4 linked regions of the Drosophila melanogaster genome follow. The protein of the gene in region 1 purifies or fractionates together with the protein of each later gene. This does not show direct contact. Each region holds a gene or a part of one and is shown in the gene's direction. Other genes may lie near its edges. The genes, in order: Rm62, AGO2, Su(var)3-9 and Tdrd3.

What was found.
Region 2: the proteins of Rm62 (region 1) and AGO2 purify together in Drosophila melanogaster (affinity purification with western blotting; 2 studies listed by BioGRID, with this or other methods). This does not show direct contact.
Region 3: the proteins of Rm62 (region 1) and Su(var)3-9 purify together in Drosophila melanogaster (affinity purification with western blotting; one study listed by BioGRID). This does not show direct contact.
Region 4: the proteins of Rm62 (region 1) and Tdrd3 purify together in Drosophila melanogaster (affinity purification with western blotting; one study listed by BioGRID). This does not show direct contact.

What each region holds. Positions count from the first base shown.
Region 1 is NT_033777.3:6,004,719-6,011,288, reverse strand, and holds the start of Rm62 (Rm62), read left to right. Parts: upstream 1-2,715; 5' UTR 2,716-2,818; coding exon 2,819-3,252; intron 3,253-3,560; exon of another isoform or gene 3,561-3,843; intron 3,844-5,174; exon of another isoform or gene 5,175-5,328; coding exon of another isoform or gene 5,329-5,339; intron 5,340-5,991; exon of another isoform or gene 5,992-6,072; coding exon of another isoform or gene 6,073-6,083; intron 6,084-6,162; coding exon 6,163-6,570. Other genes in the region: CG10280 (uncharacterized protein), read left to right, coding at 1-716. UniProt on the Drosophila melanogaster protein: As an RNA helicase, unwinds RNA and alters RNA structures through ATP binding and hydrolysis. Involved in multiple cellular processes, including pre-mRNA splicing, alternative splicing, rRNA processing and miRNA processing, as well as transcription regulation.
Region 2 is NT_037436.4:15,551,955-15,561,413, forward strand, and holds AGO2 (argonaute 2), read left to right. Parts: upstream 1-2,158; 5' UTR 2,159-2,252; coding exon of another isoform or gene 2,253-2,268; 5' UTR 2,269-2,310; coding exon 2,311-2,518; intron 2,519-4,868; exon of another isoform or gene 4,869-4,895; coding exon 4,896-6,163; intron 6,164-6,295; coding exon 6,296-6,384; intron 6,385-6,439; coding exon 6,440-7,049; intron 7,050-7,145; coding exon 7,146-8,162; intron 8,163-8,253; coding exon 8,254-8,624; intron 8,625-8,686; coding exon 8,687-8,777; 3' UTR 8,778-9,088; downstream 9,089-9,459. Other genes in the region: CG7739 (uncharacterized protein), read right to left, coding at 9,132-9,459. UniProt on the Drosophila melanogaster protein: Essential for RNA interference (RNAi); double-stranded RNA induces potent and specific gene silencing.
Region 3 is NT_033777.3:15,258,723-15,266,443, reverse strand, and holds Su(var)3-9 (suppressor of variegation 3-9), read left to right. Parts: upstream 1-2,985; 5' UTR 2,986-3,096; coding exon 3,097-3,162; intron 3,163-3,506; exon of another isoform or gene 3,507-3,605; coding exon of another isoform or gene 3,606-3,647; intron 3,648-3,722; coding exon 3,723-3,897; intron 3,898-4,546; coding exon 4,547-6,213; 3' UTR 6,214-6,580; downstream 6,581-7,721. Other genes in the region: ATPsynO (ATP synthase, oligomycin sensitivity conferring protein), read right to left, coding at 1-11, 74-517, 754-783; Set, read right to left, coding at 1,415-1,425, 1,489-1,839, 1,902-2,091, 2,500-2,757; eIF2gamma (eukaryotic translation initiation factor 2 subunit gamma), read left to right, coding at 3,097-3,162, 3,723-3,897, 6,758-6,994, 7,061-7,721. UniProt on the Drosophila melanogaster protein: Histone methyltransferase that specifically trimethylates 'Lys-9' of histone H3 using monomethylated H3 'Lys-9' as substrate.
Region 4 is NT_037436.4:14,784,971-14,792,009, forward strand, and holds Tdrd3 (tudor domain containing 3), read left to right. Parts: upstream 1-1,820; 5' UTR 1,821-1,876; coding exon 1,877-1,911; intron 1,912-1,963; coding exon 1,964-2,048; intron 2,049-2,122; coding exon 2,123-4,243; intron 4,244-4,348; coding exon 4,349-4,618; 3' UTR 4,619-4,695; downstream 4,696-7,039. Other genes in the region: bmm (brummer), read right to left, coding at 949-1,108.

The sequences.
Region 1 (6,570 bases):
TCGCCATTGATCCGTACACCTACATCACCCTGCGCCTGGGCGTCAATCCAATGAGGCATCCAAAACGACTGTGGCCCAATGGAACGATTCCCTTCGAGATAAGTCCGCGGTACGCAAATCAGGAAAGACAGGCCATTATTCAAGCCGTAAAAACCTTCAACTCCCTAACGTGTGTGCACTTTGTGCCGTACGATGGGGAGGTAGATGACTACCTGTTGATCGAGCCGCCTTTGGAAGGACCGCAAGGATGTTGGTCCTACGTGGGCCGAAGAGGAGGTGAGCAGGTGGTGTCCCTCCAGAGACCCGACGAGAATAGTGCCCACTGCTTCAGCAGCGAGGGCAGAATAATGCACGAGCTGATGCACGCCATCGGCATATACCACGAACAGTCACGAGCAGATCGGGACAACTTTGTCAAGATCCACTGGGACAACATTGTGCCGCGGTTTAGGAAAAACTTCAAGCTGGTGTCGAAGAAGAAGGGGAAGTACGCCTTCGACTACGACTACAACTCCGTGATGCACTACGGCGAGTTTTACTTCAGCAAGCGGAAGGGTGAGAAGCCCACCATGACCCCTCTACAACCTGGAGTTAGGATCGGGCAGCGAAAGACCATCAGCAAGATCGACTGCCTCAAGATCAACGAGCTGTACGGCTGCTTGCAGGGCCGCAGGGCCAAGATGTACCGCAGTTTCTGCCACCTTCTCGGGTTGTAAGTGGACGTGGACCTAGACTGGGATATTTGTTATGAATCACATTGATTTGATATTTAATAAACTTTAATAAAATAATGCGTAGACCCTTATACATATTCATTCTTGGCTGACCCACCCACCAAACTAACTAAACATATCCATTACTTGCAGGTCCGGGTATACTAGGTTCAATTATGAAAATTTAAGAGATAGATAGAAATGTGTGGGCATGCATACGAATTTTCTTGATCACTAAAAGGTTTGATCTTGCCACATGCGCAAGTGTCATAGAAATATTTTGCTTAACTTAGCAGAGATAGACGTGGTTTAAAGTATTGCCATCTCATATGCACCTGTATAACACTGCTAGATAAAGCAGTGCCTTTACTGCTTGCTAATGCGGTCACTTGGTGATCACACTTATATATTTCCATACCCCAAAGGAGGATAAAATTATAACATACCTGAGAACACCCGGGATCTTTAGTCATCTTTGCAACATGCTTCGTATAAAAACGAAATTGAATATAATCTGTTTTTATTGTTAACTTCACTAAAATAGTTCGTAATGCAATTAGATATATTTATTTATAAAATTATTAATAAGAAACGTATTACTTACCGGTTTTTCATATTTCACTTTAAGAAATTGAGCAAAATCCACTTGACACGTTCTACAATCAAATGCAAATTCAGTGTTCGAAACTTTGCTAGAAGAAGGCTGTAACATTTATTCTTGTATTTTTGAACACTCCCAAGGAAAAGTGCGGCAGGGAATTTTAGTACTGAAGAAGGACATATGAACTGGATGTTTGGGTGGCTACGTGTTATCTGCTATTTTTGTCTTTATCAATTGATTTGTTAAAAATGTCACACAGCAACTCCACCTTTTGGAGAGGGTTCTCTCCGAATTTTAAAACCGATTGACCATGGCCTTTACAGTACAATTACGATATACGATAGTTCGTGGTAAGATATTTAAATAAAGTACAGTGAGGTAGTTGGTAAATTTGTAAGAGCTTACAGATACTCATTTTCATTAAAGTGCCGTAAATTTCAATTTTTGGCATTTTGAAAAATAAGTGCATTCTTTACTGGTGTTAATATATGTGGCTACTTAATCCTCCATAGATGCCATTTTATTTTCCAGCATAATATCTATATTTAGCTATTTCCAATCATAACTATGATTCTTTCAATTTAATTCGCTAAAACTCGAGTGAAATTTTCGATTTCTTTCAGACTCATTTTTTAGATGTAAGCAATAAAATTATGTGTAAATTATAAGATTTCTTTAATAAGTATTACTTTTTATAGACTTGAAATGGTCAACAAGCAAGTTCTATGAAATTTTGAAATTAATGATGAAAATTCTGTGTGTTGTACAATATTATATTTTCTTATAAATAATAGGATATATTTTTCCTTTCAGAATATTGAGCCAACCTTATTTTAATTCTTTAAAATATTAGTAAAAATGATGCGAGATTTGCGCTTTTGGTAGATTTCAAAAAATTTGTATTAATTGAAAATGTTAAATAAACCACAAATGGGGTGAGTCTTTGCTAAATGCTCAACACAGAAAGTTGTTTTATGCTTATATTTGTTAAGGTATATTTACTAATCTCCGCACAGACTACGTTTTGGTAGGCTAGGAAATTTAAGACATTTCCGAATATTAGGAGTACGGACCGACGACGAGATACATTTAAAGTTCGTTTCAGCAGAATCTTAAATATTAAAAACTTAGCGGGCAAGTAAATACACCGCGTTCAGCTGATTATCGATAGCTAGGAAATTTAAGACATTTCCGAATATTAGGAGTACGGACCGACGACGAGATATATTTAAAGTTCGTTTCAGCAGAATCTTAAATATTAAAAACTTAGCGGGCAAGTAAATACACCGCGTTCAGCTGATTATCGATAGCAACCAGGTGGTCACTCTAATAGACGTTTTCATGCGAGCCCGCTGCGGTCACACCAACTTCTCGACCGATTTTTCCCCTCCATCTAGGGTCACTCTAATTTTGGACGAGGTTAGGTAAGACACGCGCGGATGCCGCGCTGCGTAGGATAAATCCGTCATTAGCATAACCGCATTGAAGCTAAGTCTTCGGGAAAATGCTTAAGCTTGTGCAATACATAGCCCCCCGGGTGGGCGGCGCCACGCCCCGACCGACTGCCTGCGGCTGGGGCAACTTGCTATTGATTTCCCCGAGAAGTGGCGCGAGCTCCGAGAAATGTATAACGCAACGTCGCCATTTTCTTTTCTCCTCCGCCAGCAGCAGCGGCACTTTCGCTTCTTCTTCTTCGCTCTGCACCGAACAACGACAACAGTTCCACGGGAGTCGCAGGAATCGTGAGACAATACTGTTCCCAAGCACATATAGTAGTCTCCAAGCTCAGTCGCAGCGTGCGTTTCGAGACAGCTCGAAACCAGATTCAGACGACTACGTAGATTCCATCCCGAAAGCAGAGCAGCGGACGAGGACGAGGAAATCGCTTTTCAACGATCCCGACGAAAGAACTGAGGAAATCAAAATTGAAGGAGTAATGTGAGTACGCCGCAAGATTTCATATGAAATGCGTTGGTTTTTTCCACTCACTGTCGCCATTTTATCACCCTTCGTGCCATTCCTCTTTTTTTTTTTTTTTTTCTGTACACCTACGAAGCGAGGTGATGAGTAATTAGTGTGAGCGAAAGAGAGAGTTTGGGGAGAGAGAGAAAAACACATGGTTTGCTAAATTTTGTCAGTCGGAGGTGAGGTTTTCAGCCATTTGTTGTTTTTTTCTTTGTGTTTGCCCCCGCACATCCGCAAAGGAGTAGCAAAAGCAACAAGAACGACAGCGCACGTCATAAAAAGAATTTGCCTGATTTGTGAAACGTGTTCTTGCTTCGTTTGCTATTTTATAGCGTTTTAATTTGTCTGTATGCCCCGAACATGAACACGCGCACTCACACAGCGGCACATACGGACTTGCTTGTATGCGTGAATGCCTGTTGACGGCGGCATTTTCTCGTGCTCGTAGAACAGTTCGAACAGTGTGTGCGAGCGTATAACAGTCGGCGGCTGTCACTGACTAGCGCCGTCCTGCTCACTCGCCAGCATGCCTTTCCATCACATTCTTTCCATGGCTCACACGAGGTTTTGTAGAGATATCGCGATGTTTTTGGTATTGGCAATTTTATAATTTGATGTAACCATCCCGACATAGATTTATACTTACTATGCTTAATTTGGGAAGTGAATGGGGTTAATGGTTTGCTTCGTTTGGTTATCTAATGCGTACATTGAAATATATAATTTCAGTATAATTCTGTATACTGAGGACAATTTTAGGGAAAAGTAGGGTTATTCTCTTAAAATTTTCTCTACACTATAAGTAAAGGTTCCATGCAAACACATTTAACTTACAGATTATCAAAAATGCATTTTATCGATCATTTTATCTATTTTGCTACGCTCTTTTTGTGTTTACTTATCATGAACCATGCTTGTTATGCAATAAAAATTATTTATTAGAAAGTTATACTATAGTATTGATAAAAACTCAAGTAACAACCAAATATTAAATGGTAATAGTAACCCAGTTCGTGAACTACGCCATCACATAAACGGCCCCATTAGTCTAAAATGTCAAATGACGCCAATTGATTATGAGCTCCCCCTTTGGCGAGCGCGCGATTCGTCTTTTCGCATGTCAAAAAGCGACAGGTAGACACACAGAAAGTCAAAGGTGCCCCCAGGGACTGTCCCCTCCTCCCCTCGGGTGTTTGCCCACCGTTGAAACTAGGGGCAAGACATTTGGCTGTCTCATAAATGTTCAGAGCGTTCCGCTTCGCTAGTTGGGCACAAACGTTAGCGTGCCAGTGGGTCCTACAAATAGACGTTTAGGGCGGTACGGTGTTCCAAATTGACAGAGTAATAGACAAAAAAAAACGTGGGCCTGGATCGTGGGTGATTTGCATGGTGCACCCCATAGTGATGCCCACTAGGATCACGAAAATGGAGCTTACATACGAAGTAAAGCGAATATAAAGTGGAAATTTATAGAAGTTAGTTCGTAACACAATAAACATAATTTATGTTGTAAATTTTGTTTTATACAACTTTACCATCCAACTTAATCTTGCACTATATTTATTACCACATTGTATATACACTCCGCAGAGTTAATATTATTTTTCCCTAATTATTGCAAAGTGCTAACATATATAGGTCGGTACCTTCGCCAGTTCTGACTGGAACTAGAACTGCGCCAGGTTGATTAATGCCAGAGCAATAAACGCAGGGCTTTGTACATGGGGCTGTTTAGTTTAGTTGAGCATTTAGGGGCTGATAAACTGGGGTGAAAAATTGGTGGGAGGGTGGGCTGTGAATAGAAACCCTGCTCGAATTGCATGTTGTTGTCAATCAAATTTGCCTTACTGTTTGCATTATTCGAAATTTATTTAATTTCCCTAACACGCAATTAGTTTTTATTTAAGTTTATTGCGGTTGTAGCACAGCACAACTCCCATGTCAGCTGTTTAGCAGCGTCGAAAGAAATCGAAAAGCGAAGACTTACCTTCCAAGCCAAGTCGCAGTTGAAATCCAAGTCCCAACTGGCAGACGTCTAGAAACGGCAGCATGCGAGCAAAGTAAGCCAAGTCACTCGTTTCTTTTTTTCCTCAATTTTCTGTCAAAGAAATACTTAAGAAAAGAAAGTGCAGCTGTCTACGCCGAGCCGGAAAAAATGATTCCAGTTAAGCATGGTTTAATTCTCGAAGGTCCCTTTTATCAAGGGAAAATTTATGACACACAGTTTCTGGGTAATGTGTGTGCAGCGCAAAATTATTTTAGATGGCAGATAAGGAGGAATTGATTATACAAATGTACAACGCGAAATTAAAAAGTTTGTGAGAAAACTATCAAACTATATCAACTTCAGCGAAATTCGGTTACAAAGCTCAAAGTGGGATATTTTCTTAAAGATTCCACTGAATTCACGGCAGCGAAATAACAAGTCGTGAAGTCGTTCAATTTCCATGAATAAGGAAAAGGCCCTTGATACTTGACACTAAGTAAACTTCGGCAATGCAAGATAAGCATATTAGAATTAAATTACTTTAATCTCATTTGCCTTTACCAAAGCCAATTACCATCGCAACCATTAATTTTGCCAAAGTTATCTAGAATAAATTACAATACAAAAAGGCACACAGGGTACGCGTGAATTTTTAATTTATCAAGTTAATGGGAAAAACACTTGTAATGCCACTAATTTAATTTTTTTTATCTCGAATAAAACAGCATCAAGATAAATTGGTGGTCAAAGATCAAACCAGTACAAGAAACTGCAAACTACTACCTTAAGTTCAAATAAGCTGCAAGATGATGATGATGTGAGATTTCTTTTCTTGAGCATTCCGTTTCTATTTTGCATACTTAGATACTCATCGATCTTCCTTTATTATTTCCCAGGGCACCACACGATCGCGACTTTGGTCACAGTGGACGTGGCGGTCGCGGAGGCGATCGAGGCGGCGATGATCGGCGAGGAGGCGGCGGCGGAGGCAATCGCTTCGGTGGCGGCGGTGGCGGTGGCGATTACCACGGCATAAGGAATGGACGCGTCGAGAAGCGACGCGATGACCGCGGAGGCGGCAACCGATTTGGAGGTGGTGGTGGATTCGGGGATCGCCGAGGAGGAGGTGGCGGCGGCAGCCAAGACCTCCCCATGCGTCCGGTCGACTTCTCCAACCTGGCTCCCTTCAAGAAGAACTTTTACCAGGAGCACCCTAACGTAGCAAACCGATCGCCCTACGAAGTTCAGAGGTATCGCGAAGAGCAGGAGATCACCGTGCGCGGACAGGTGCCGAACCCCATCCA
Region 2 (9,459 bases), on another chromosome or scaffold:
GAAAGCCGATCGCAAATAGGCTCTGATTGTATATGAAATCCAGATTGGAGTTGAGCCGACAGTTGGAGGCGACATGTACATTATGTTTTAATAATGATTGAATGAATGAATTAACGAAAGACTCCCGGAGCTCAATCTCTGTGCTGTCTTTGGCATGACTATTGTTCCTTTAAACGATATTTCTCAAAACGAATAACGAAAGCTGACGACGAGATAAAATACCTAAACAATTCCATAATGTAGCTATATAGGTGGATTATGTAACGAACTATGTCTATGTGCAGCATTTAAGTTTCTCTTCATCATCTGTTCGCCAGCGGGCGTCAAGTTGGAGTTTCAATAGATGGAAAGCATACGAATTTATAATGGGTATCCGTATCCGTATCTGCATCCGTATCCATATCCGTATCTGTATCCGTATCCCCAATTCGGTTGCGTTCTCCACCTGCCGCGTTGCCTGGCCAATTTAAAACAATTTCCGAGCCAATTATGAAAATGAATTATTGTTTGTTAAGTTTTATTTTATAAGACGGCGCTGCACTGACCGAAGGGATATTTTGAGAGTATAACCCAATTTAATCAAATTTCGCAGCAATTATTTTGTTTTTTATGTTTACAATTTGTGTTTTACGTTTTAGTGCAATTTTTTGGCATACATACATATTTATACAGATATTTTTGTATTCTTTTCGCAGCGTTCTAAATGAGTCATTCTAGTTTTTATTAGTTGAATTTATAAACACAAAATTACTTAACGGAAATTTCAAGCGTAACCCGTTGATTTCCTATCAACTCGATAATATGTATCTATAAAATATAATTTAGCTATTTCTACGTATGTCTGTGCATGTGTGTATAAATCAAGCGGGCGAAGTTGTGCAATTGTTAGAAAATTTTTAAAAGAAAGATATTTAGTAAAAATACGAAAATCAGAAATCGATGTTGAAAAACAAAACGCTCGTGCAATGACAAACAAAATTTTATTAATAAAGCGTTAAACAAACAAATTAAAGACAACATGAAATATACATTATGATATATTTATATATACAAGTATGAATAATGTACGACTATTTACTATTTTTTGGCTATAGCATTTTAAACGCATATATTGTATGTTTAACGTTGAAAATGGAAAAAACAAACAAAACAAGAAAATACATCAAAAAAAATTGTAAAACTTTTATGATTGGTTGCTGTAATTTGGCAAAAGTAAAAGTGCAATTCCAAATAAAATTCAAACAACCATACAAACAGCAGGAATCTGGGTCTTTTATTTATTTATTATCTATGGAAAAACAATACTTTTTCTGGAATGTAAAACTATTTTTCACTTAAAGGCGGAAAAATAAAAATAATGCTTTCTAGCAGTGGTGATTAAATTTATTGATTCTTACTGATGTCTTCTTCCAAAATAAAATTTAAAAAAAAAAACTAGTAAATTAAAATTTTTTTCCTATTTTAAACTTCCCCGATAATCAGATGCCAGTTACTCAACTATTGGAAATGCGAACGCAAATTAGATATTGGTGAATAAAATAAGAAAAAAAATTAAAATTGTTAAAAATTGTAAGCGTGGCTTTTCGGCGGTTTGTGGGAGTAATAGTAGTTTGGCAGATCAATAGAAATTTACAAGACTAATCAAAATATGAAAAATATCACATTTTGCATAACTGTGGGCGTGGCAATTTAAAGTTTTTTGGCAGATCGATGGAAATTTACAAGACTAATAAAAATATGAAAAATGTCAAAACATTTTGAAAATGTGCGTGGGAAGTTTTGGGGGCTTTCCGTAATCTCAATTTTCTAGCTTCTTATTCATCCTGAGATCTCGACGTTCGTACGGACTGACAGATGGACGGAAAGACGGACATGGCTAGATCGACTCGGCTATTGGTCCTTATATATATAATATATATAATATATTATAATATATATAATTTATTAGGTCGAAATCGGTTTCTTTTGCCGGATACATGCTTTTCAACGAATATAGCATACATTTGACTCAACAAGCAACATGTATACAAAACATGTATAAAAATATACAAATATAAATAGAGTCCCCACTTGAATGGCCCGCCTAGTCCGTATGTTCCTATCAATAATCGATAACAGAAAACACTTTAGCTGTGCCGCTCAATAACTTATCGCCCACCCCTAAGGCCTCCCATCACTAAAAAAGACTGTGACGCATTAAAAAATCGTCTATTAAAAGTCGTCAGTTAACTCGAAACCCTCAAAAGTAAATCATGGGAAAAAAAGATAGTGAGTTGTCCCACCTGCAGGACCATACAGCTATTCAAATATATGCACTTTCCAATTACCACCCCAGAGAACAAGAAAGGAGGACAGGATAGCGCTGCAGCACCACAGCCCCAGCAGCAGCAAAAGCAACAACAACAACGGCAGCAACAACCACAGCAGCTGCAACAACCACAGCAGCTGCAACAACCACAGCAGCTGCAACAACCACAGCAGCAGCAACAACAACAACCGCATCAGCAACAACAACAAAGTAAGTGCAAAGTGCGATATATCGGCGTAGGCAAAAAATAGATGTATGCATGCATGTACATACATATGTTTTGTACATATGGATTTACCATTTGCAATCAAATGCTCCATAAACTTTCGAAATGCCTGGGAATTCCCGAATTCGTGGCAGCCATGATGAAATTCAACTGCCATGGTTGTATAGAACCTATGTATGTGTGTATTATACTTAAAGGTGAATTCTACTGTATATAACAGTTATTGAATTTCCCCTTAACATAACTAAATTAAAATTCCTTTATATTTAAAAAAATGAATTTTGCTATGAAATGTAACAGTTGTGCTTTAGGCAGAAGCATCAAACAATTAAGAATTAAAATCTGCTCAAATCTGTAAATCTTAATCTTAATTTATACCAGATCCGACATTTTAACTCAATTATAAACTTATTAAAAATCTGAAAGATGAAGCGAAATTGAACATTTGACATCAATATATCTTTACATTTAAGGTTATGTACATACAGTTTGTCAAGAAACTGTTTACACACTGTGAAATAAGTTGAATTTTTGACTTTAAAGCTAAAAATAAAGGGTTTTTTGCTTAATTAAACGCAATTTTTTTATAAAATATAATTAAACAATATTTATTTTACTTATAAATAAAAAACAAATTAAAAATATTAAATATACAAGAAAATAAACAACAAATTCCAGGTTTACACACTTTTGAGACTGTCAAGAAACTCTTTACACATTTTGTTTTCCTACTTTGTTTTGTTCTTTTTCTTAGAACGAACTCGATTTTTCCGTTATTTTTGGCTTCGCATTGCTTTTTACAACGCTTCTATTGAAATTTGTTGACTTTGCTTGTGAAATTTTGCTGATCAAACGTGCTTAAAGCGAATTATTAAATTTAATAAAATGCCTGGAAAGAGATTAACTTTTGAAGTTACCCAATTAATAAACTATAACCACCAGTTGGGAAAATCTTTTCCAGAATTAGTATAAATGTTTCCTGTATCCCGTAAGACCGTCTACAATGTTTTAAAAGGCTCGGAAAAAGAGGGCAGGCTTGAACCTAAGAGTGGTGGTGGACGGAAAATTAAAATTAAAAAGCGTGTAGACCGCTTTATTATGCGAATAGTGATTGCGAACCCCCGAATCTCGGTCAGATCACTTGCTCTGGATATCAGGCAAGAATGCCACCTAACTGTGTCACACGAAACTGTGCGCCAAGTCATCCTACGCCATAGGTACTCTTCAAGATTTGCAAGGAAAAACCCTTTGCTATCAGATGCCAATATGGAAAAGCGTCATTAATTCGCTGTGAGCATGATGGATCATGCGGAAGAGTACTGGGATGACGTCATATTTTGTGACGAAACAAAAATGATGCTCTTTTATAACGACGGGCCAAGCAGAGTATGGCGCAAACCGTTGAGTGCGCTAGAAAAACAAAATATCATTCCAACGATAAAATTTGGAAAAATGTCACTGATGATGTGGGGCTGTATCACCAGCCGTGGAGTGGGAAAACTAGCCTTAATTGAGAGCACAATAAATGCCGTGCAATATCTAGAAATGTTAAAAAACAAATTTGAAGGCCAGTGTAGAAAAAATTAGTCTGGTTAGCAACAACAAGCCAAATTTTAAGTTTTACCAGGACATGATCAGAAACATAAAGAGTGCAATGTACGCACCTGGCGCCTTAATAACTGTGGTAAAGTGATCGATACGCCCCCTCAGAGTCCTGATCTGAACCCCATTGAAAATTTGTGGACCTACTTAAAGAAGAAGGTGGCAAAAAGGGACCTAAAACACAACAACAGCTTATGACTGTAATAGTCGAAGAGTGTGAAAAGATCCCGTTTGAATATGACCTGCAAAAACTTGTCCAATCCATGAAAAAAAGGCTTCAACTTGTAGCTAAAGCCAATGGGGAACATACTACATACCAAAACTTTTAAAATTTTAATAAAATAATTAAAAAATTTAGGATTAAACTTCGATTTAGTGTTTTGTGTAAAGAGTTTCTTGACAGTCTCAAAAGTGTGTAAACTTGGAATTTGTTGTTTATTTTCTTGTATATTTAATATTTTTAATTTGTTTTTTGATTTATAAGTAAAATTAATATTGTTTAATTATATTTTATAAAAAAATTGCGTTTAATTAAGCAAAAAACCCTTTATTTTTAGCTTTAAAATCAAAAATTCAACTTATTTCACAGTGTGTAAACAGTTTCTTGACAAACTGTATGTATTTTAAAGTGATACAAATTATTTTCGCGTTAGCAAATTCAAATCAGCCAAGTGAATACTTTTCGAAGAGTTTGCTTGCAGTTTTTTCGAAACCTAACACCTATTGTAATAAACATTCTTTGTCGATTTCTAAATCTAGGTTCGAGACAACAGCCATCCACAAGCTCAGGCGGATCCCGTGCATCTGGGTTCCAGCAAGGAGGCCAACAGCAAAAATCCCAAGACGCAGAAGGATGGACTGCACAGAAAAAACAAGGCAAACAGCAGGTACAAGGGTGGACTAAACAAGGTCAACAAGGTGGCCATCAGCAAGGACGACAAGGGCAAGACGGTGGCTACCAACAGCGTCCGCCTGGACAACAACAAGGTGGCCATCAGCAAGGACGACAAGGGCAAGAAGGTGGCTACCAACAGCGTCCGCCTGGACAACAACAAGGTGGCCATCAGCAAGGACGACAAGGGCAAGAAGGTGGCTACCAACAGCGTCCGTCTGGACAACAACAAGGTGGCCATCAGCAAGGACGACAAGGGCAAGAAGGTGGCTACCAACAGCGTCCGCCTGGACAACAACAAGGTGGCCATCAGCAAGGACGACAAGGGCAAGAAGGTGGCTACCAACAGCGTCCGTCTGGACAACAACAAGGTGGCCATCAGCAAGGACGACAAGGGCAAGAAGGTGGCTACCAACAGCGTCCGCCTGGACAACAACAAGGTGGCCATCAGCAAGGACGACAAGGGCAAGAAGGTGGCTACCAACAGCGTCCGCCTGGACAACAACAAGGTGGCCATGAGCAAGGACGACAAGGGCAAGAAGGTGGCTACCAACAGCGTCCGTCTGGACAACAACAAGGTGGCCATCAGCAAGGACGACAAGGGCAAGAAGGTGGCTACCAACAGCGTCCGTCTGGACAACAACAAGGTGGCCATCAGCAAGGACGACAAGGGCAAGAAGGTGGCTACCAACAGCGTCCGTCTGGACAACAACAAGGTGGCCATCAGCAAGGACGACAAGGGCAAGAAGGTGGCTACCAACAGCGTCCGCCTGGACAACAACCAAACCAAACCCAGAGCCAAGGCCAATACCAATCTCGTGGACCACCTCAGCAACAGCAGGCTGCCCCATTACCATTACCGCCTCAGCCAGCCGGGAGCATTAAGCGCGGAACAATCGGCAAACCCGGGCAAGTAGGCATCAACTATCTGGACCTTGACCTGTCCAAAATGCCTTCTGTGGCATACCACTATGACGTGAAGATCATGCCAGAGCGTCCCAAAAAGTTTTACAGACAGGCATTTGAACAATTTCGGGTGGACCAATTGGGCGGAGCAGTTCTTGCCTATGATGGCAAAGCCTCTTGCTACTCGGTGGATAAGCTGCCGTTAAATAGCCAAAATCCGGAAGTGACTGTAAGTTGCAAGAAATTGTCTACTAAGTTATGAACAACTGGGAGTAATAACATTTTTAAATGTATACAGTGGCAGTTAAATTTAATTTAATCTATACGATATTTTAGTTGTTTTTATTTCTTATTATTTTAGGTGACAGATCGTAATGGTCGTACTTTGCGCTACACGATCGAAATCAAGGAGACTGGTGACTCGACCATTGACCTTAAATCGTTAACTACGTAAATATAAATTATGTTTTTTATGGATACTCCTATTGAACGCGCTCCTCTGCAGTTATATGAATGACCGAATTTTCGACAAGCCCATGCGAGCAATGCAGTGCGTGGAGGTTGTTTTGGCTTCACCCTGCCACAACAAAGCCATCCGTGTCGGTCGTTCCTTCTTTAAGATGTCCGATCCTAATAATCGTCACGAACTGGATGATGGATACGAGGCCCTGGTCGGTCTGTATCAGGCATTTATGCTGGGCGATAGGCCATTTTTAAATGTAGATATATCGCACAAATCCTTTCCGATTTCAATGCCGATGATCGAATATTTGGAGCGATTTAGCTTAAAGGCTAAAATCAACAATACAACGAATTTAGATTATTCGCGACGCTTCCTTGAGCCATTCCTCAGAGGCATTAATGTGGTTTACACGCCTCCTCAGTCGTTTCAAAGCGCTCCAAGGGTATACCGTGTAAATGGTCTTTCTCGTGCCCCGGCCAGCAGTGAGACCTTCGAACACGATGGGAAGAAGGTCACCATTGCGTCCTACTTCCACAGTCGCAACTACCCATTGAAGTTTCCCCAACTCCATTGTCTGAACGTTGGATCTTCAATCAAGAGTATTCTGCTGCCCATCGAGCTATGCAGCATCGAGGAAGGTCAGGCCCTAAACGTGAGTTCACTAAATTCCTTTATATCTATATCTTGGTGTTCAATACCGTAAGCTATATTGTCATTACATATACCTATAAACATATGTATTTCACAGCGCAAGGATGGAGCAACTCAGGTGGCCAATATGATAAAGTACGCAGCCACATCGACGAACGTGCGAAAGCGCAAGATTATGAACTTGCTGCAATACTTCCAGCACAACCTGGATCCGACCATCAGTCGCTTTGGCATCCGCATTGCCAACGATTTTATTGTGGTAAGCACCCGCGTCCTAAGCCCACCTCAGGTTGAATATCATAGTAAGAGGTTTACTATGGTGAAGAACGGGTCGTGGCGCATGGATGGCATGAAGTTTCTGGAGCCCAAGCCCAAGGCGCACAAGTGTGCGGTCTTGTATTGCGATCCGAGGAGTGGTCGCAAAATGAACTATACCCAGCTGAATGACTTCGGGAACCTAATAATATCCCAAGGCAAGGCAGTCAACATAAGCTTGGATTCTGATGTGACATACAGACCGTTCACGGATGACGAACGCAGCCTAGACACTATTTTCGCGGATCTGAAGCGCAGCCAGCACGATCTGGCAATTGTGATTATTCCTCAGTTTAGAATTTCTTACGATACAATTAAGCAGAAGGCCGAGCTGCAGCATGGAATTTTGACGCAATGCATTAAGCAGTTCACCGTGGAACGAAAGTGTAATAATCAGACGATTGGAAATATTCTACTTAAGATCAACTCCAAGCTGAACGGCATCAACCACAAGATCAAGGATGATCCTCGTCTGCCGATGATGAAGAACACCATGTACATTGGAGCCGATGTGACCCATCCCTCTCCCGATCAGCGCGAGATTCCCAGTGTGGTCGGAGTAGCAGCCTCACACGATCCCTACGGAGCCAGTTATAACATGCAATATCGTTTGCAGCGAGGGGCTCTGGAGGAGATTGAGGACATGTTCTCGATTACTTTGGAGCACTTGCGCGTGTATAAAGAGTACCGTAACGCCTATCCTGATCATATCATCTACTACCGAGATGGCGTGAGCGACGGCCAGTTTCCGAAAATCAAAAACGAGGAACTGAGGTGTATTAAACAAGCCTGTGACAAGGTAAGTTTTTGAATTTCCTCACTATTTATTTAACATGAAATGAAATTACCAGTTACTAGCTATGAGTTAATTATTATATTATTATATACAGGTGGGCTGTAAACCCAAGATTTGCTGCGTGATTGTGGTGAAGCGTCATCACACTCGCTTCTTTCCCAGCGGCGACGTAACGACATCGAACAAGTTCAACAACGTGGACCCCGGAACCGTGGTCGATCGCACCATTGTGCATCCTAACGAGATGCAGTTCTTCATGGTCAGCCACCAGGCCATCCAGGGCACGGCCAAGCCAACACGATACAATGTGATTGAGAACACAGGCAATCTTGACATCGACTTGTTGCAGCAGTTGACCTACAACCTGTGCCACATGTTCCCTCGTTGCAATCGCTCGGTTTCTTATCCGGCTCCGGCCTATTTAGCCCATTTGGTAGCTGCTCGTGGACGCGTTTATCTGACTGGGTATGATATTCTTTGTGAGCGTTACCCGTACATTGAACTTATTTCTTTCTGTAATGTCACAGCACCAACAGGTTCCTGGATTTGAAGAAGGAGTACGCAAAGCGAACGATTGTCCCCGAATTCATGAAGAAAAACCCCATGTACTTTGTCTGAGCAACGTATTGAATCTTATTATTTTTTATCTTTTTTATATTATCACATTTCTTAAACCATATTACAAATATAAATTATGTAAAGGAGCATCTCTATTGATTCCATGATGAGCTATGATTTTAAAAGCCGCCTTGAGATGGTCCGCCAAATATTGTTCTACTTTACATTTTTATCAATTTGTTTGTGGCATTTTAGGACATCAATATGGTTGGAAAGCTTATAATGGAGTTAATAGAGCGCTCCTTTCTTTTAGGAATATTAATCAACATTATATAATAATAAAATTAAAAGCTCATCTTATGGGTTGAATCAAAAGTGTTAATTAGTTAATTTACATTTAATGGGGCGACCACCTTACATTGCATCGAAATGGAATCTGTGAGACTCCTGCAAGCGTTCCTGTTTATCCTCGCGCTTTTCCTTGATATATAGCACAAGGATGATAAAGACGATAACCAGGCAGGTGCCACCCAGCGCCACGACGCTCATCAGAATCAGTTTGCTAGGCGTGACAAAAAGCTGAGCCTTCCAGTGCGACGGTTCGTTTAGGGGTTTTGGAACCACAATTATCTGAGAGTTCGGTATAAGTTGCGTCCAGTTGCGCAACTTGCTGCCCAGTCCTACAGTCAATTGATCCACGAAATTTGGCGTTCGGCCCAAGCCAAAGCACGTATACGGTAGT
Region 3 (7,721 bases), 9.3 Mb from region 1:
TTCAGGAAAGACTGCAAAGCAAATGAGCAATAAATTGAGTGGGTGAGACAAGACAGAAGCTAGGCGTAGCTACCTTAAGGGCACCCTCCAGCTGCTTGCTCTGGGACGCATCCAAGGGCTTGGCGGTGACCACCTCGCAGACGACCTCACCGCGATGTGCGGCCATGATGGTCTTGTAGGCATTGATCACGGTGTCCAGCTTCTTTAGACGTCCGTTGTCAGCCAGCAGACCCAACAGATTGACGGTGGCCGGGGCGAAGCGGAGCTTCTCGGATGCCTCCTTCAGAGCGGTGGCCATGACCTTCTTGTTGATGATGGGGCTGGTCACGTACTCGCGCAGCTTCTTGTCGCTACGGATGGTGGCCTGCAGGGCCGTCAGATCCTTCTCCACCTGATCCAACTGGCTCAACTTGGAGGCAGCCGAATACAGGGCGGTAGCATAGCGACCCTCCAGACCGAACACCTGCACTGGTGGCTTCACCGTCGCCTGGGCGGCAGCGGAGCTGAGGGTGCGGCTCTGCGGGATAAGCAAACAAGAGCACTTGGTAAGTTTTTCGGCTTATTAAACATAAACTACCCGCGGTTCGTGGGTTAAGATGGGCAAAAATTACATAACCAAGAAACGCGCGTTAGATAATTCTACATATGCGACAGCGGGTTGCAAACGCAATAAAAATTTGACATGCACTTAAAATGGCTTGGCATTGACCGGAGCTTGTTCACTTTTTTCTATTTATTCGCATTATAACATACCAAAAGTGCCAATTTGTTAATAGAGGCCATCGTTTTTATCCCGACAATTTTTCAGCTAAAAATCTCAGCTGTGACCAGGGCTACGTTACTTGCTACTCGACGTGTGGCAGGGTTGTTTTGAATGGCGTAAGGGTTGCAGGACAGTTATCGATTACAAAAAATAGCTAGATTTTAAGATTTATACTAGCTAGTTAAATAAAAGCGAATTTTCATTTTAAAAATGATATTCTGACTTTAAAGTAATTCTTAAAGGATATATTAAAAGATAGGTATTTCTGGGTACCCAAAATCTACCTTAATAGTAACACCTCTAATTTGCTATTAAATAATTAATTAATTAATAAATATTAATTAATAAAGTAATAAATTATTTTATAAACATCGAATTGAATACTTTGGTAATTCTTTACTTACATAAAAAGACACGGCTTGAGATTCGATTTACGTCTTTTTATTTGTTTTAAATTAATTTAATGGTGATTCTCATTTTCTGCTGCTCTTTAATGGATGTATGACTTTTGCTTATTTCGAAACCTAAATATGTCCTTAAATCGTTGCGAATATGTAAATGTTGCATAACCATCGGGAAAACTATAGTTGCCAGTGGTTATAAACAATGTGGGCCTTCGGTTGCGAGCGATTTGAAATTGCATTAATCAGTTTACTTGTCATCTAAAATGGTTGGTTAGGTGGTTAGTAAATTCCTTCTGTTCAAAAGGCACTCCATTAGCTTACCCTCATCCTCTTCCTCTTCCTCGCCTTCTCCATCCTCACCGTCCTCGTCGTCAAATGCCTCCTCATCATTATCTTCGTTGTCCTCCTCGTCCTCGGGCTCCACCTCGATATCAGGTACCAGATAATACTGCAGTGGATTTGGCCAAAGGTCGTCTTTTATCAGTTCTGCGATCTCGTCGTTGACGGGATCGGTGTTATCCGAGAACCAATCGAAGAAGGTTTTGTATTCGGAGTTGCGCTTCTTCTTGTTTCCGTACGGCTTTGTCAGCAAAAGTTTTAGCAGGTTCTTTCCCTCCTTCCATTTGATGGGCGTGCTGGTAGACGCGGGCCAGTCTCCGTTCTCGGAAGCAGCTTTAATTGAAATAGTAATGGGTTAGCTAAGCGGATTTGAATCAATCGTTGGGAGAACTTACCCGCTGAATTCAGGTGGAACTCTTTGGTGAGCACCTTGTTTTCGAAGTAAGGATTCTCGTCGAAATGGAAGTTGATGCGGTAACCCGATTTGATGTCCTCAAACTCCTCAACCTCAAGTTTGTTGAGCGCGTGCAGGCACTCCTCCTCCTCCTCGTCCAGAATGCCGGATACTTGCGGGTGGTTGATAAACTGCAAATATGGCAGTTGGGATTAGCTAGGGGATGCATGCTATCAAGCAGAAAGCCATGTTTATGGCCCCTATGGCACTACTTTTCTTTTCAATTATGGCAGCAAATATTTCAGTGGTTTTTGATTTGAAGCCATTTTGAACTGTGCTATGTTGTGTATTTCCCGGCCAGACGGATATATCGATAGCACGATTTTTCCGGGAGGGGGAAAATGCGCGGGGAGCCGGTGGTGTCGGCATTGCAGCCCAAAGATGAACAAGAAAAAATGCCTCGAATAGAGAAAATTTCTTGTACATGTGTGCAGCGATTACCATCACTTCAGGGCTTCGAAAGATCTAGTCGGCTCCACTAGAACCCATCAGACGAACACGCGGAGGGGACAAACATGGCCGCGGATCGAAGTACTCACCGAGGTCACCCAAAAGTTGGGGATGCGCTTGACCAGCTCGCTGCGCTTCTCGTAGCAGGGCTTCCGCAGCTTGTTGTACTTCTGCTCCACCTTGAGGATCTCCTCGCTGGCCTTCTCGTTCAGCGCATCGATCTCGTTCTGGCAGGCATCAATTTGCTCCAACGCCTCCGACTCCTCCTCGTTGTTACCGGCGGCGGCGGATGTGTTGCCATCGGCGGGGGCGCCGTCCAGCTTGGCTCGCTTTGGCACGCTCGACATTCTGCACGCTCTTCCGTTGTGTGTACGCTCGTAATTCCCGAGATATTTGAACAAAAAGCGGCGGTACAGTTGAGCAGAAGAGAAGCGAAGCGGATTTTTAACCTTTCGTTTGCGGCTGAAGAACTGTAAGTGTATCGATAGGGCGGCACTCTATCGATACGCATCGCAGTTGGGCACCGGTGTGACGTGTCCAACACTGGCCAACCATGATTAGAGCACTATCGATAGGCATTGTCGGGTCCAATCGTTCTTCGATATCGAGATTTGATGCCGAGCTGTAATAGCTGAAAATTATTATTTTCATTTTGCATACGCATCGTTTTTGAAAACATCAGCAACATGGCCACGGCTGAAGCCCAGATCGGTGTGAACAGGAACTTGCAGAAGCAGGACCTCAGCAACTTGGTAAGCAGCCAGCAAAGACGACCGCCAGACGCCGCCTTCCCTTTTTTTCCGCCCGTGTGTGAAAGTATACGCGTCGTCATTATGGAGCCGCTTCCCGGAAAAACAGCGGGGTGCGGGTCGCAAGGACGCGCCCAGATTGTCTCGAACGGTTCGCGGACCAATTTCGAGGGATATACCAGTGGGTTTCGCCAGGGCCAGCAGTGATTTGTTGTGGGTGAGAGATCACGGTGAAAATGCAGCACGTGGCGCTACATTTAGGGTCTGTTTGGTTTATCCCGCAACTTTGGCTCTGCATATGGGCATGATGCGGACTCTGGCGGTATTTGGGCTCTGGCAAGCAGATCAGTTTCGCGAGGACTACCTGACTGTTGTCATCAATTTTGAGTTGATGCAATTCAAGCGACATTCTAACCTCAAAATTGACGGCTTTCCTATATACACACATGCATCTGAGAGGGGATGTTTTGTTAGGGGGTGTGGCGGCGGTAAACAAGACTTGTGCTCTGATTTTCCTCTATTAAAGCGCCTTTATTTATCGTATTGCATTTGGAATCTTGCAGGACGTCTCTAAACTAACGCCTCTATCACCGGAGGTCATCTCCCGACAGGCGACCATCAACATCGGCACCATCGGTCATGTGGCTCACGGCAAATCCACGGTGGTCAAAGCCATATCCGGCGTGCAGACTGTGCGCTTCAAGAACGAACTGGAGCGCAACATCACAATCAAGCTGGGTGAGTCAGGGATCCGTGTAAGCTAGCCTAAGCATATAATCTTAAGATGTATTATTCTACTTGATAATAATTTAGCCGTATGTTAATTCTTCCTGCTCGCCCGTAAACCCCGTAGTGCCCTAAGATTGTAAACCTTCTCGGCTGGCCGAAAATAACCCATAATTATCTTAAGAACCACTTTTTAACACCGTATCGCGACGGCACACCGCGTAGCCAACTCTGTCGCTGCTTTACATCGAGATAATGTTGTAAAAGGGTTCTGCGAATGATTGTCTCTTGTAATTCGAATTCTTGTGTATTTTGTTAACTTAAATTGCTGGATTAGCACGCGTTGCCTTGTGTCGTCGCCTAAGTAGTCTAAAATGATAAAAGAAGTTGTCTTTAGAATGTTGTACTTTACAAAGCTGAATTAAAAAGCGTTCCCAAAGATTGGTATTAAGCATATCTTCCTGTTAGCTTAGTCTTGAATCTGTTACATTGATTGATACGACTGATCCAGCAATTTAATTAATTGCCAATCTTTTTCTTCTTTTTCCCTATTTCTCTTGTTTTTACGATTTTTTCGGTTGCGACGCGTCCGCCAAATAAAAAAAAAAACACACCAAACCCATCATCCAATCCACAATTGTCCAAAACTTGTCATTTGCAGAACGCTTGAGCGAAAAAAAAATCAAAAATCTTTTGACCTCCAAGCAGCAGCGACAGCAGTATGAAATCAAACAGCGTTCAATGCTGCGCCACCTGGCCGAATTGCGGCGACATAGCCGATTCCGCCGCCTCTGCACCAAGCCAGCTTCGTCTTCCATGCCAGCATCCACCTCCAGTGTAGATAGACGCACCACCCGGCGAAGCACCAGTCAGACCTCACTGAGTCCAAGCAATAGTAGCGGCTATGGCAGCGTTTTTGGCTGCGAGGAACATGATGTGGACAAAATACCCAGTCTCAACGGATTCGCCAAACTGAAGCGTCGACGCAGCAGTTGTGTGGGCGCCCCAACTCCCAACTCCAAGCGGTCGAAAAATAACATGGGAGTAATTGCCAAAAGGCCGCCCAAAGGAGAGTACGTTGTGGAGCGTATTGAATGCGTCGAGATGGATCAATATCAGCCAGTCTTCTTCGTCAAATGGCTGGGATACCATGATAGCGAGAACACCTGGGAAAGTCTTGCCAACGTGGCCGACTGCGCCGAAATGGAGAAGTTTGTGGAGCGGCATCAGCAGCTCTACGAGATATACATAGCCAAGATAACCACTGAGCTTGAGAAGCAGCTGGAGGCATTGCCACTAATGGAGAACATTACGGTGGCCGAAGTAGACGCCTATGAGCCACTCAATCTGCAGATCGATCTTATACTGCTCGCCCAATATCGCGCTGCTGGCAGTCGAAGCCAAAGGGAACCGCAGAAAATTGGAGAACGAGCCCTGAAAAGCATGCAAATCAAGCGGGCCCAATTTGTACGACGCAAGCAGTTGGCTGATCTAGCATTGTTCGAGAAGCGCATGAATCATGTGGAGAAACCGTCACCGCCAATACGTGTTGAGAACAACATTGATCTGGACACCATAGACAGCAATTTCATGTACATACATGATAACATAATCGGCAAGGATGTGCCCAAGCCGGAAGCGGGGATTGTGGGCTGTAAGTGCACTGAAGACACAGAGGAGTGTACTGCCTCTACGAAGTGTTGTGCCCGCTTCGCCGGCGAGCTGTTCGCCTACGAGCGAAGCACACGGCGCTTGCGCCTTCGTCCCGGAAGTGCCATCTATGAGTGCAATAGCCGCTGCTCGTGCGATTCAAGCTGCTCCAACCGTCTGGTGCAGCACGGACGCCAGGTACCGTTGGTGCTGTTTAAGACCGCCAACGGCAGCGGATGGGGGGTGCGAGCCGCAACTGCCTTGCGTAAGGGTGAATTTGTGTGCGAGTACATTGGAGAGATCATCACCAGCGATGAGGCAAATGAGCGCGGCAAGGCGTATGACGACAATGGGAGGACATATCTGTTCGACTTGGATTACAACACAGCTCAGGATAGCGAGTACACTATCGATGCAGCTAACTATGGCAACATCTCGCACTTTATCAATCACTCTTGCGATCCTAATCTCGCCGTGTTCCCCTGTTGGATCGAGCACCTGAATGTCGCGCTGCCGCACCTCGTGTTCTTCACACTGCGTCCAATCAAGGCGGGCGAGGAGTTGAGCTTCGACTACATTCGCGCGGACAACGAAGATGTGCCCTACGAGAACCTCTCGACAGCTGTGCGTGTCGAGTGCCGCTGCGGAGCTGATAATTGCAGAAAGGTCCTCTTTTGAATGGACTTGAAGTACTATATTTAAATGGCACGCCGTTACCCACCTGAGACATCATTGCATTGAACCTTTTTTTTTTTTGTTAACATATATATATATTACTAGTTGGATTTTATATTCCGACGTTTTAATTATTTATTTGTTAATAAATGCTAATATCGATATATTGGATCTATATTATGTTTGAGGATCTATATTACTAGAGGATAAAACGAGTAATTCTATATAGTTTGTACTTGTATACATTTCATAAACTTAAATTTTAATTTAGTAATAACTTAGTGTTTTGACAAACAACCTTGTAATGTGCTGAAATTATTACCGCATTAAGTGCAAATTATTATTTTACAATAAATATTTTACGATTATTAAGTGATGTTTGTTTGTGGCTGTATAAATGATCTGGAAGGATCAAAGAAATGAATTTAGTTAGCAATAGCACTTAATTCCTTGTGAAGAACGAAGGATTATTTTACGTGTTTGCCAGGCCAGGAGTTCGAAGAATGTATTGTAATATTCTTCATAATTATTATCGCATTGCTTTTAGGTTATGCCAACGCCAAAATCTACAAGTGTGACAACCCCAAGTGCCCGCGCCCGGCCAGCTTCGTATCGGATGCATCCAGCAAGGACGACAGCTTGCCCTGCACTCGGCTCAACTGCTCCGGCAACTTCAGACTGGTGCGACATGTGAGCTTCGTGGATTGCCCCGGTCACGACATTCTTATGGCTACCATGTTGAACGGTGCTGCTGTGATGGACGCTGCTCTGCTGCTCATTGCTGGTGAGTAACCCTGGATCTCTCTGAACCGACAAAAGATATACAAATTACTACCTATTCCATGTGCAGGCAATGAATCCTGTCCACAACCGCAAACCTCTGAGCATTTGGCCGCCATTGAGATTATGAAGCTGAAACAGATTCTGATCTTGCAAAACAAGATCGATCTGATCAAGGAGAGCCAGGCGAAAGAGCAGTACGAGGAGATCACCAAATTCGTCCAGGGCACCGTAGCTGAGGGCGCTCCGATCATTCCGATCTCGGCCCAGCTTAAGTACAACATCGATGTGCTCTGCGAGTACATTGTGAACAAGATACCAGTGCCGCCGCGTGACTTCAATGCCCCGCCCCGTCTGATCGTCATCCGATCCTTCGACGTGAACAAGCCAGGCTGTGAGGTGGCAGACCTTAAGGGCGGTGTGGCCGGTGGCTCCATTCTGAGCGGCGTGCTGAAGGTAGGCCAAGAGATCGAGGTGCGTCCGGGCGTTGTGACCAAGGATAGCGATGGCAACATCACCTGCCGTCCAATCTTCTCCCGTATCGTCTCGCTCTTCGCCGAACAGAATGAGCTGCAGTACGCCGTGCCCGGCGGTCTGATTGGTGTGGGCACCAAGATCGATCCTACGCTGTGCCGTGCCGATCGTTTGGTCGGTCAGGTGCTAGGCGCCGTTGGCCAGCTGCCGGACATCTACCAGGAGCTGGAAATCTCGTATTACCTGCTGCGTCGCCT
Region 4 (7,039 bases), on another chromosome or scaffold:
CTGACGCAAATTAACTTTAATCAATTCGCAAAAGAAATCGCAATTCTAAATCACAAGGCCAGTTTAATCTATTTAATTTAATATTGGCAATTGAAGATAAGATATGCTGTGAGTGATTTTATCTTCAATTTAGATTTATAAAGTTTCTGGCTAATCTCATAGCATAAGTATTTAGTTTATTCTCTTTGCAAAAGTATTTGATGAAATGTTTTCGGACTGCGTTGCTATTCATATACCCACCGCTGTGCCCAACCATTTGCCCATATATTCGGGTGCCGCTTTACAAAAGTGCGTTGTCCCGGGCATACGAAACTTGTTTTTCTGTTTTCGTAAGGTTTTTCAACTGCGCCGCAGTTTTCTTTTGAGCGGATGGGACGAGCCCCCTTCGAAATTGGACAAACACGCCCAAAAACACACACACACTATCGCAGTCAATTATGAAAGATCCCCATTGACTTCCTAGCGACCTACAAACGCAAACAAGCTTATCAATAAAATTCAATTCAATGCGTTTTATATTGAGCCTCGCAGCATCTTTCGCGCTCTCCCACTCCCACTCGCTCTCTTTCTCACTCCCACTCACAGAGTCACTGAACTGCCCAGTGTGGTTGCTTTTGCACTCAGCTGTTTTGCGAACGCAAGTGTGAGTGTGTTCGTGTGTGTGCATTCTGCACGAAGAGGGGAGAGCAGTAGAGAAAACACCAGAGGGGTGCAGAAAATATTCACAGGGGTTTTCCCAAGCAGAAAACATTGTGCAAAGGCCAAGTTCAGACGCGGAGTGTGAAAAGAAACAAGAAACTTAACAAATTAAGATTTATGCAAAGCAAAATAAAAAATTTATTTTTGTTTCGCCTTGGAGAATCGCTATCATATAGTTGGCAGATCTTAATGATTCCGAAAGCTTCCCTCTCTAGACCCACCCATGTAAGCAAGTGGGAAGAGACTTACCCAATGGCAAATCGCAGAGGAGACAGCAGGCGGCCAGGGAACCGGCCGAAGCGCCTCCGATCTTCTCCAGCAACAGATGCGGTGCATACTTCTTGAAGCAGACGGCCACTCCGACGTGGTAGATGCCCAGGAATCCGCAGCCAGCGAATGATAGATTCATGCTTTGGACTCGGCGTTAGATTCTATAAATCGTTCGATGACTGTTTGTTGTTGTTGCTACTGCGTCACTGGTTTTTTCTCTCTTTAAGGTATTTTCTCGCACTTTCTTCGCGGATTTTAGTCGTTGCAGCTCCTTTGATGTAACAATTTCTTGTCGCGTTTCGAAATAAATCTCGTTTGGGTTTTCAATCACTGTTTGTCGGTCGGCTGGAAAAATTACTCCGCTCTCGAAATGAAAAGTTGTTGCTCGCGAACCGTTATTTACTCGCTCTGCGGATGGCAGCCCCCTTTTATACATTCATTGCGGCGCGGTGTGACCGCATTTTATTCGCTTTACCACCTAAACTAGAACTGTCATTAGAGTGGCTGTGCGTATAGGGTACTCTTTTGTTTGTTCTAAACATGTAGATATTACGACTTTAAATCGATTTATAATGCCAATTCTTTATAACTGATAAAATTTAATTATCGATATATAAGTACATCTATCAAAAATATATATGCTAGTATATGTGTTGCACCCAATTTTGACATTATCTCTTGGGACATAATATATATATTATATTTAATTTGAATAAGTGTGCAAGAAATATTAAAATTTTTAGATTTTAAGAAAGCATTTAATATTACTAAACAACCTAAACTTAAACGATAATAGTATGCACCGTCAGCCGATAGTTGCCGCCAAGCACATCACTAGCGAGTACACACATCTAATACTTTTGTCATCCCTAGTCCGGAGTTGCAAAAAAATCGTCTTCATGAAAAAATGGAATTAGGCAAGAAACTACGAGAAGTCGGGTGGTAAGTACAATTTTAAATTGTGGCATACAATGCTTCTTAACGATTTACGCAGGTACCTGACAGAGGAGGGCCTTAAAATCGTGACAACAGCCGTCGGCAGCGAGGATGTCCGGAAAATAGTCAATGATGCACTGAATGTGAGTTGTAGGCGAACCGGCTGCTCAGCATTCTGTGTAATTATTAATTATAACCTATTACTCACACTTTGCAGCGAGATCTGCGCGATATTGGCGGTGGCGCACTGCCCGCGAAACGCGAAGATGCCACTTTGCCCGGTAAAATTGTGCTGCAGGTTCAGCGTGTGCGAAATATTGCCGCTCCCAAGGCGAATGAGGAATCGAAGGCGGCGCCACGCCTCCTTCAGTTGGATCTGAGTGATGGGCAGAATTCCATAAAGGCCTTGGAGCTGGAGCCAGTTCCCCAACTGAATCTCAATGTGGCTCCCGGAAGCAAGATCTATTTCAAGGCCGAGAAACTGCAGCTTATGCAGGGATTCCTGCTGCTAAAGTCCAGTGAAATTCAGCTGCTCGGCGGCCGTGTGGATGCACTCTACGAGAAATGGGATCTGGCCAGGACCATGATGAGATATGCGCGCAGTGGGCGCCCCTTGAATGGGACATCAGCGCCACCCCCGTGGGTGGCATTTGGCCGAAAAATCGATAGCAACGCCGAAAGCGAAATGAACTTTAAGAGCCTGGGCGAGGGCGACAAGGACAAGCCGGCAAAGGAGAACGAAGAGTTCAATGCCATGCGCACAGAGGCCATTGCCGTGGCCACCAAGGCCGGCGGCAAGAAGATCTTTGGCGGCGGTGGCCAGAACATTATCGATCACAATGTTAAGAAGATCCTAGACAAGGGCTTCAGCGAGGAGGAGGCCCGCAGTGCCTTATCTGCTACCCGAAACAACTTGGAGCGCGCCCTATACAATCTAAAAAGACGCAGTGAAGCTGGCGGTGTGGGTCCGATCGAATCCGTGGGTCGTCCGGGACGCGGAGATCGTCCGCCCAGAGAGGGAAAGCGTGGAGCTAGCGCCAAGGACGAAGTTGAAGCACCCAAGCCGGCTGCCAACACCACGCTGTTTGATTTCCTAACCAATAAACTGCCCGCCAAGGAAACACCGGCCGCTAGTAATGCAGAAACCTTCGCTGCCGCTCCAACTGCCGCTCCGACTGCCCCACCCACTACCAATCACTTCAATCCATTTAAGCAATATGGAAGCTCGCGCTTCAGCGATTCCGAGAGCAAACCTTCAGCTATGGGCGGAGGCGGCAAGTTTGCAGATCGTTCTAGGTTTGAGAACAACGTATCGAGCAGCTTTGCCGCACATCGTGGTGGACATGTGGGTTCGTCGCGAGGCGGTGGCCGTAACCGGGGTGGCGGCAGGGACGAAAGGCCACCAAGAGAGGAGCGAGCCTACAGGGAAGACAGGCCTCCGAGGGAAGAAAAACCGCCGAAAGAGGAGAGACCACCGCGAGAGCGAGGAGCGTTCAATGATCGTGCAGCTGGACGTTACAAACCAGAAACGCCAACCGTAAAAACCGCAAATCGCAATGGCTCGGATAACGTATCGTTGAAACCGAATTCCGAGATTAAGCCAGATCATGAAACAACCAATGGGAAGGACCACACTGGCAACCGACGTGGCAGCGAACGAGGCAGCAATCGTGGAGGCTCCAATCGAGCAGAGAACGGCAACGCCAATGGCAACAGACGAAACAAGCCGGCAGCAAGCTTAACTTCGGCGAGTTCTGCAGCGAAATCGACAAATAGTGCTGGCGATGATTTCAACGCCCGTTTGAGTAAGATAACCGAGGAAACAGCTAATCTCAAGGTGAGCAGTGCGCCAAAGCGAGAGAATCGACGTAAGCAAGGAGGACAAGCCAATCGCCTGGCGGGATCGGGCACAGAAACAACGCAGCAGCAGCAGCCAGCACAGTTGCATTCGCAGAAGCCAGAGAAGGCTCAAACCAACCAAAAGCATCACAATCCCAGGCACAATTCGCAGGCGAACTACAGTCAATTGGCGAATGGCTACACTTACGATCCCAGCAAGATCATGGGTTTCCAGAGCAAGGAGGCCAACGAGTTTGCCATGAACCTTCTAAAGAGCCAGGGTGTTACACTGCCCAACGAAAAACAACAGGAGGAGGAACAGCAGGAATCGCCACCCATGTCCTTTGGCCCCGTTTCCGCTCCTGTTTCCCGTGCGCAACCTGCTCCAGTGGCTGTGCCACAGGCTGCGCCACGGGATCAGTTCGGCATGGTGCCAGGCGATGCGTGGATGTGGCAGAAGGGCGACTTGTGCATGGCCAAGTATTGGGACGATGGAAGGGTGAGTTTAGGTCGATAAACTGAAAGTACATTCGTAATTGTAGTAGGACAAAGTATTCAAATTGATCTATTGAACTTAACTTATCATTCCTTCTTTATTTTCCAGTATTATGAGGCTGAGATCACGGGCGTGTCGGAGAAAACTTGCGTGGTCTTCTTTATGGGCTATGGAAACCATGAGGAGGTATTGAAGGTCGACATCCTGCCCATCACCGATGCCCAAAACAGGCCACTGAGCAACTCAGCGCAGCAGCAGCAACCGCATCTGCAGCAACAGCAACCGCATCTACAGCAGCAGCAACATTCACGCTACCGCGGAGATCGTCAGACGCAGCAGCAGCAAGTCTACGTGCCGCCCCACAAACGAGAGCATTGAGACAACATGGTAACAGCCTGTTAACAACGTATTTAAATCAATTAACATGTTTCGAATAAACAACTTTACAGAATATTAAAACTATGAGTACGTATTTTGTAATCTGCTGACTTTCATATAATTTAAAGCGTACTGTTGATTACGTCTTACCTATTAAGTGAATATATCTCCTATAACGTGAAAAATTGAATTAAGCAAAGTTTTATTTAATAATTTAGTAATTAACATTTCTTTGTAAACATTATTCGAATTCGATTAATTCCTGGCGCAGTACTATCGATTGTCCCTGATTTCTGCGCGACATGTTCAGCACTATTTCGCGCCGCTGCTCAGCACTGGTGCATTTCGCGAATTTTCCCTCATACATACATAACTTATTTTTAACATTTTTCGACGTGATGTGCATTTTCTCTCATAGTTTTGTGCTTAACCATGTAAAATAGAATTAGTCCGTAGTGTACAAACAATAGGATTTAGTGCAAAGGTAACGCAAAAAGAGTGCAAAAGCCCGAAATGTACGCACAAATTGGCCAGCAAGTGTACAGCTGGCTGGCTGACTTGCCATAAACGCGCTGGAAAGGGTTCAGCGCAGTAAATTTTGCTTGCTGAGCATGCAAAACGATTAACGAGCCGTATAAATAACTGACTAATCAGATAAAAGTGCAATGCGGTCATATGCATGTATTGTGCGCATATATTTTCATATGATGGCAAAATCATCGTGTAGTACATGCGCCAGTGTTGTCAAGTTCGCATGCGGTGTTGCAAAGCGACGGTTGTCGATATTCGTGCAATGTTTTGTGCCGATTTTATTGAGCAATTAACATGGCATTAAAATAAACGAAATTAAATTATTATTGCCCGTCATTAAATGTGTTGCATGTGTCACTTCTTAAATACTGGAAAATATGATTGATCCCACCATTCATTTCCACATGCGATACTCGGCGAGTGCCTTGCGAAGTTGGCCAACACTGGCGACTGTCTGCTGTTTTCAGCACGTAAAAAGAAAAATGGTAAAATAAATCCTTCTCGATTCTCGGGCTTGGTGCAAATTTACAATTAAATACGCTTCAACCATAACCAGCCACATAAACCGTAGACTAACATCGGAAAATTCGTGAAAAGTGCCTTTGTTTAGCCTGCAAACAACTGAAAAGACAACGTCAGGCAAAGAAAATCCGGCCATGTATATAAAAAAGCCAAGAAAAATCAACATTACGCTCAAAACTTCTGGAATTTGCATTTGATCGCCAACTGCGCTCGCAATTTACTGATAAATAATACCCATTTATTGTCGCATATAAATAAAAACCGCACAACAACAAAACGCACGCATACACGCAGCGAAAAAAGTAGCAGGAAAAATAAAAGAGAGCAAGCACCTCTACCAAAAAAAAAAGCAGAAAAATAATAAGAAACAACTTGAAAATTACTTTTAATTATGCTGGCGAATTTTCTCGTTCTGTGCAAGTGTTTTCCACCGGATTCTCCTCCCCCCGAGATGCCACCCTCCTCCGAGTTTTCCGTCCCCCTTTTGTGCCGGTGCGAGTGTGAAAATTGCTCTTATGAAATTTTGCGTAACCGAATTAGAATGAAAATTGTGTAAATCGAAAAATAAAGACACAGCACTTTGGATTGTTTATCATACATATGTACATATATACATATATATTCTTAGTTGCAGGCGCACTCTATAAATCCGTCTGTATATTTGTACTAAGTACACACAATTGTTTGGGAACCGATAAGAAGCGAGATATAAACAATTTCTGTTTTGGATTTAGCGAACATTACTGGCAGTCAACGAAGATGATTTAATCAATTCTTCAATATCCAAATAATTATCCGTACAAACAAGCCGGTCTTTAAAGTAATCTAAAATGTGAAATCGCCAATAGGAAAATTCAGGACTAGAATACTTAAGATGTGAAATTGTGTGCAAATTTCAAGAACACAACGGTAATTATAAACATTAAAGATTACAACATACATTAATGTATAGTACTATTATAAACCAAAGACAATAAATGTGCTTTATTGAAATAACTAAGTGAAAGTAAACTCTACATGAGAAATAACTACTTAAAAACATAAATACGAAAGAAAACAACACGTGCTCTATAAAACCAAAAATATAACATAATATAACATAACATTAATAACATAACCAAATCTAAAAACATTACACTCAACCAATTCACAATAAAAACATAAATAAGCCGTATATCCGCCATACGAACATGAAAATAAAAACTAAAACCAAACATCTTTCTTTACAGTAAACATAATGCCCGCAAAGTATCTAAAACATTAATGTAAAAACGATAATCGATTTCTTATTATTAACCACACAAAAACTGTTAAATTGTGTAAGTATAAATTCACTGAATAAAATGATCAAGAATACAAGAATACAAC